2 linked regions of the Macaca fascicularis genome follow. The protein of the gene in region 1 interacts with the protein of each later gene in a pairwise test. Links are inferred from orthologs where the notes say so. Each region holds a gene or a part of one and is shown on either strand. Other genes may lie near its edges. The genes, in order: SH3GLB2 and melanoma-associated antigen 1.

The links.
Region 2: the proteins of SH3GLB2 (region 1) and melanoma-associated antigen 1 interact in binary tests that used the Homo sapiens proteins (3 or more experiments, as listed by UniProt). The two-hybrid records come from large-scale screens. The link is inferred for Macaca fascicularis from reciprocal best matches to the Homo sapiens genes SH3GLB2 and MAGEA1.

What each region holds. Positions count from the first base shown.
Region 1 is NC_088389.1:14,931,882-14,935,689, reverse strand, and holds part of SH3GLB2 (endophilin-B2), read right to left. Parts: intron 2,507-3,808; coding exon of another isoform or gene 2,495-2,506; intron 1,790-2,494; coding exon 1,727-1,789; intron 280-1,726; coding exon 184-279; intron 1-183.
Region 2 is NC_088395.1:159,218,343-159,221,499, forward strand, and holds melanoma-associated antigen 1, read left to right. Parts: upstream 1-1,366; 5' UTR 1,367-1,398; coding exon 1,399-2,349; downstream 2,350-3,157.

The sequences.
Region 1 (3,808 bases):
AGGGTACTGTGGAGAAAACATTTCCCCACAGAGGGGAAACTGAGGCCCAGGGAGGGAAAGCAGTAACCCCTCCCCAGTGGGTGTAGGGCAGAGTGAGAAACAGACCAGACCCCACAGCAGCAGGTGTGCCTGTACCCTGCCACCCCTTCTTCCCCAAGCCCAGCCCCCCAGGCCCCAACTTACCTTGTCCACCTCATCATTCCAGAGCTGTGGAGACGGCAGCAGGAGTGGCCAGCAGGAGAGGGGAGAGGAGGACAGCTGGACCCTAGAGCCTGTGCCCTGCCCCAGCTCCCAGACTCAACTTCTGCCCCCTGCCCCTCTGCCCCACCCGCCCAAACAGGAGCTGAGACTGGGCCGAGGCAGGCCTGGGAGCTGGGGGCTGGCAGTCCCAGTCCCTCTAACATGCCTCATGCAGGAAGGGAGCAGCCAGCGGGAGTCCTGCTTCTATTTCTCCTACAGTGTCAGCCCCAGACTCTGAGTGGGGTCTGAAGAGAGACCGAGTGCCCCACCCCGTCCTGACTGTTGGCTCAGGCTGGTGGGCTGGGAGACAGGACCGTGTGACCCTGGGCCAGTCACTGAACTTTTCTGTCCTCTGGCAGAGAAAGGCAGCCTCGTGCCTGAGTCACACTGGGACTCAATGGCAAAAGAAAAACAGGGCAGTCTCCACCCTCTAGGATGTTTCTCCTTCCACTGGGCACAGGGAGGAGGCGGGAAGTGGATCCTGAAGAAGAAAGACCGTGCCCGGCCACGACCGGAGACCCAGCGCTCCTGCTGCTTCCGGAGATCTGACCCGAGACAACAGCCCGAAATAGGGAACGCGGACCCAGGCCAGTGTGCGTGGCCCACCCATGTGGCCCCCATGCTGCTTAGGAAGTCCCCGTCCAGGAGCACTGGAAGTTGCTGTGAGAGCCAACTAGGGTTGGTGGCCTGAGGGAGTCACCCAGCCACAGAACGACGGCACGAAAGACACAAGGCAGCATGCTCACGACAGAGGTGAGGGTCTCACCCCTGGGGGCGGGAAGGAGAGAAAGTGGGCAGACAAGGTGCAGCAGTGGTGACAAGCATGAGGGAGAGGTGTGGCCGAGTCCCCAAACTACACAGGAAATACCAGACATCCCAAGAAAGCTTAAAAACCATGACATGCGAAGCCTCCACGATCCTGTCCTCCCCACCTCCTGCCCCGACTCCCCCAGGGGCCCTGCCTGAGCCTCCTCAGGACAAGACATGCCCTGCTCCAGAACCTCTGGGCCTTAGCACAGCCTCAGGCCCTCCCGCCCCCCAGGCGCTCTCCAGGCCTACACGGCAGTCCACTGCCTCCTGTCTTTAGGGGTCTGTGAACTCCAGAAAGGCACGGCCAGGCCTCCTCCTCTATCCTCAGGGCCTCCCCAGGGCCTGGCATTCAGAGACAGCAGGAGGTGGAGGGGCCCTGAGGATGGGACAGCTGCCGCCCTGAGTTCTCCACGCTACTCGGTACAGCTGGCCCTGCCGCCAGCTCCAGCGTTTTGCAGAGGGGAAGCAAGTCCAGCTCCATGGCCACAGGGCACAGGGGCCAGGCTGTGGACAGAGGTGGGGGCTGCTGCCCCTCCCCAGTGTCTCAGGACTGACCTGATCACATGGCAGTGCCCCCACCTTACCCGCTGGCCTCTAGCTCCTGTGCAGTCAGAGGCAGTGGCATGGGACTTGGGGAGAGAGGACGAGGGGTCGGGTGGGGGTGGGGTGCGCTTACCGCGGAGGCGCTGGCTGAGAGAATGTAATTACGAGGTCTAGTCTCCTGAAAGTCAGGCACCGTCTGGTGGGGAACAGAGTTCATGTGGGGAGGGGGTCACCCTGGGCCAGGGCCAGGGTCGAGGTCAGGAGGCTACCCCAGAGTCTTGCACAAGGAGATGCCAGGAGGCCTGACCCCAAGGACAGGGGGATACAAACACAACACAAACCCTCTTCTCCCGACTCCAACCACCTGGAGATGAGGGGCCTAGGGACGTGGAGAGTCCAGACAAAGATCAAGCGGCTGTAGGCACTGGAGCCCAGGAGACCAAATGCGGTGAGGACACAGCCGAGGCTGCCTGAGCAAGTCACAGGCTGGGCTCTCCCCTCCCAGGGGCCACAGCCCCCTCCTCCCAAGACCAGTGGCTCAGATGCTCCAGGGTCCCACAAACACAGCCCACCCCCACCTGGGATGGCTTTTTCCATCCCAGAATCTGCACACCGCATCTCTCACTCCTGCATCAAGGGCCAGGCCCTTCCCGACAAGGGTGGACAGATGGATGCATGGGCAGACAGAGTGACAGACGTCCAACATTTGCAAAAAGCTGACTCACAGGCCCCAACGCCTGGCATCCCCCCTAAACCAGAGGCCCTGCACAGTAGAGGCTCTGGCGGGGAGACCAGCTGCTTGCAAAATGCCCCAAGGACGTGGGCTGGCCACGGCACCGTGGGTCCACGGGCAAGATGGGCAGACCGGAAGCAGCACAGCGCATGGGACAGGTATACTCACATCTCCCTCACACTGAGCCAAGTTACCCAAAGCAGGACGGAAAGGAACAAAAACAAAGAGTTAGTGAGTCCACAGCGCAGGCAGGAGCAGGCCCCCCAGGCCCTAGTGGGAGGGGACACCAGGCGGTCAGGCGGAGGGAGGCACCACAGCCTGCTCTCCTGAAGAGTCCTAACGTGTGTGTGCTTATGGGCACAGAGCTGTGGGGCTTGAGTCCTCTGGAATGCTGTTCCCCGGGCTGCCCAAGTCCTAGCTCTGGAAAGGGTGGCCTGGCCCAACCCCAGGATGCAAGGTTGTCCAGGCCCACCAGGCGAAGGAGAGGTCATACCACTGCAATGACTAAGGAAAGGCTCCCCTGGCCTGGCTGATGGAGTGTGTTCTGACTGAGTTACTCCAGAGACATTGTCTGGCCCTGAGTGACGGGGGAGACTGTCCTGTTCAGGTGACTTAAAAGAGGTCATCCCAATAGGCACAGGTCACCCTAGCCAACCCCAAGATTAAAACAGCTATACCCCTGCCTCTGGTCTAGACCCCACACACTTAAGTGACCTGAGACCCTGCACACAGTTTTCGCCACGGGCAGTGCAGGTTCTGGGGCACACTATGGGAGGGGAACACAAGGTGTATGGACAGCTGTGAGCCCAGGCTGGGCCTGGCCTCCCTCGGCTAATCACCCGGCAGCCACAGGTAGCCATCTCCCAGCAGGCCCTGGGCCTGGGAGTTCCCTCTGCAAGGTGTGAGGCAGCCTTTAGGCCCTGCACCCCGAGCAACCTCTCGTGCCAGGAGGGTGTTCACCCTTGGGCCCAGCTCCTCTGATCCTGGCCTCGCCCTGGGCACATTGTCCCAGGCTACGTCCCATTGACCCAGCCAGGCTGAACAGGCCTCAGTGGGCTGGGAGTGAAGGGGGCGCCAGACGGCCCAGGCCCTATCCAATCTCATGAGGCTGCTTGATAGGGCCCCTCAGACACAGCCCTGAGCAAGTGGGCGGTCCAGCTCCCAGGTTCTCCACACCATCGTGGGGGCGCCTGAGCACAGGGACCCTGGGCCTGACGTTCAAGCAGCAAGTAGTAGAGTTAGTAAGAAGGTGCCATACCTGGGCAGAGCCGGGGACAGAGCCGAGCATCTAGGAGGGCAGGGCATGCAGGGGACTCCAGCTGCCTGGCGGGGTGACTGTGGGGTACCCTGCACCCAGCTGGGGGCACTGCTGATCCACCCACACCGTAAATGTCTCCCCGGGAACCAGAGCTCGGGGGCCACCAAGGCTCCCTTGAGGGCAGGGACAGAGAGGCTCAGCCCAGCAGCCCCCAGCCAGGCATC
Region 2 (3,157 bases), on another chromosome or scaffold:
CAGATCAGGGATGGCCGTATGTTCTAGTCTCACTTGTACCACAGGCAGGAAGTTGGGGAGCCCGCAAGGAGATGGGGTCTTGGGGTAAAGGGGGGATGTCTACCCATCTCAGGGAATTGGGGGTTGAGGAAGCACAGGCTTTGGCAGGAATAAAGATGAGTGAGCCAGACAAGGCTATTGGAATCCTCACCCCAGAACCAAAGGGGTCAGCCCTGGACACTTCACCCAGGGTGTGGCATCTTCTTACTCCTGTTTCCAGATCTCAGAGAGGTGAGGACCTTGTTCTCAGAGGGTGACTCGGGTCAACATAGGGACCCCCATCTGGTCTAAAGACAGAGCAGTCCTACGATCTGCCATGCATTTGGGTGAGGAACATGAGGGAGGATTGAGGATACCCCAGGGCCAGAACACTGACAGAGACCGCACAGAAATCAGCTCTGCCCCTGCTGTCACCCCAGAGAGCATGGGCTGGGTCGTCTGCCAAGGTCCCTCTCTTATCTTGGGATCATTGATGTCAGGGAGGGGGAGGCCTTGATCTGAGAAGGCTTCACTCAGGTCAGTAGAGGGAGAGTCCCAGGCCCTGCCAGGAGTCAAGGTGAGGACCAAACAGGCGCCTCACCCAGGACACATTAATTCCAATGAATTTTGATATCTCTTGCTGTCCTTCCCCGAGGACCTAGGCCCGAGTGGCCAGATGTGGGTCCCCTCCTGTCTTTCTGTTCCTTATCATGGATGTGAGCTCTTTATTTGGATTTCTCAGACCAGCAAAAGGGTGGGATCCAGGTCCTGCCAGGAAAAATGCAAGGGCCCTGCGTGAGAACAGAGGGGATCATCCACCGCATGAGAGTGGGGATGTCACAGAGTCCAGCCCACCCTCCTAATAGCACTGAGGGCCCAGGGCTGTGCTTGCAGTCTGCACCCTGAGGGCCCGTGGATTCCTCTTCCAGGAGCTCCAAGAACCAGGCAGTGAGGCCTTGGTTTGAGACAGTGTCCTCAGATCACAGAGCAGAGGACGCACAGGCTGTGCCAGCAGTCAACGTTTGCCCTGAATGCACACCAAGGGCCCCGCCTGCCGCAGGACACATGGAACTCCACAGAGTCTGGCCTCACCTCCCTACCGTCAGTCCTGTAGAATCGACCTCTGCTGGCCGGCTGTACCCTGAGTGCCCTCTCACTTCCTCCTTCAGGTTTTCAGGGGACAGGCCAACCTGGAGGACAGGATTCCCTGGAGGCCACAGAGGAGCACCAAGGAGAAGATCTGTAAGTAGGCCTTTATTAGAGTCTCCAAGGTTCAGTTCTCAGCTGAGGCCTCTCACACACTCCCTCTCTCTCCAGGCCCGTGGGTCTTCATTGCCCAGCTCCTGTACACTCCTGCCTGCTGCCCTGACCAGAGTCATCATGTCTCTTGAGCAGAGGAGTCTGCACTACAAGCCTGAGGAAGCCCTTGAGGCCCAACAAGAGGCCCTGGGGCTGGTGTGTGTGCAGGCTGCCGCCTCCTCCTCCTCTCCTCTGGTCCTGGGCACCCTGGAGGAGGTGCCTACTGCTGGGTCAACAGATCCCCCCCAGACTCCTCAGGGAGCCTCCGCCTTTCCCACTACCATCAACTTCCCTCGCTGGAGGCAACCCAATGAGAGTTCCAGCAGCCATGAAGAAGAAGGGCCAAGCACCTCGCGTGTCCTGGAGTCCTTGTTCCGAGCAGTACTCACTAAGAAGGTGGCTGATTTGGTTCGTTTTCTGCTCCTCAAGTATCGAGCCAGGGAGCCGGTCACAAAGGCAGAAATGCTGGAGAGAGTCATCAAAAATTACAAGCACTGCTTTCCTGTGATCTTCGGCAAAGCCTCTGAGTCCTTGCAACTGGTCTTTGGCATTGACGTGAAGGAAGCAGACTCCACCGGCCACTCCTATGTCCTTGTCACCTGCCTGGGGCTCTCCTATGACGGCCTGCTGGGTGATAATCAGATCATGCCCAAGACAGGCTTCCTGATAATCATCCTGGTTATGATTGCAATGGAGGGCGGCCGTGCTCCTGAGGAGGAAATCTGGGAAGAGCTGAATGTGATGGAGGTGTATGATGGGAGGGAGCACAGTGCCTATGGGGAGCCCAGGAAGCTGCTCACCCAAGATTTGGTGCAGGAAAAGTACCTGGAGTACCGGCAGGTGCCCTACAGTGATCCTGCACGCTATGAGTTCCTGTGGGGTCCAAGGGCCCTCGCTGAAACCAGCTATGTGAAAGTCCTTGAGTATGTGATCAAGGTCAGTGCAAGAGTTCGCTTTTTCTTCCCATCCCTGCGTGAAGCAGCTTTGAGACAGGAGGGAGCAGCTTTGAGAGAGGATGAAGAGGGAGTCTGAACATGAGTTGCAGCCAAGGCCAGTGGGAGGGGGGCTGGGCTAGTGCACCTTCAAGGACCGTGTCCAGCAGCTTTCCCTGCCTCGTGTGATGTGAGGCCCATTCTTCACTCTGTTTGAAGAGAGCAGTCAGCATTCTCAGTAGTAGGTTTCTGTTCTATTGGATGACTTGGAGATTTATCTTTGTTCTCTTTTGGAATTGTTCAAGTGTTCCTTTTAAGGAATGGTTGAATGAACTTCAGCATCCAAGTTTATGAATGACAGTAGTCACACATAGTGCCGTGTATATAGTTGAGTAGTAAGAGTCTTGTGTTTCATTCAGATTGGGAAATCCATTCTATTTTGTGAATTGGGATAATAACAGCAGTGGAATAAGTATTTACTTAGAAATGTGAAAAATGAGCAGTAAAATAGATGAGATAAAGAACTAAAGAAATTAAGAGATAGTCAATTCTTTTTTTTTTTTTTTTTTTTTTTTTTTGAGACGGAGTCTCACTCTGTCGCCCAGGCTGGAGTGCAGTGGCGCGATCTCGGCTCACTGCAAGCTCCGCTTCCCGGGTTCACGCCATTCTCCTGCCTCAGCCTCCCGAGTAGCTGGGAGTACAGGCGCCCACAACCACGCCCGGCTAATTTTTTGTATTTTTAGTAGAGACGGGGTTTCACCGTGGTCTCGATCTCCTGACCTTGTGATCCGCCCGCCTCGGCCTCCCAAAGTGCTGGGATTACAGGCGTGAGCCACCGCGCCCGGCCGAGATAGTCAATTCTTGCCTTATACCTCAGTCTATTCTGTAACATTTTTAAAGATATATGC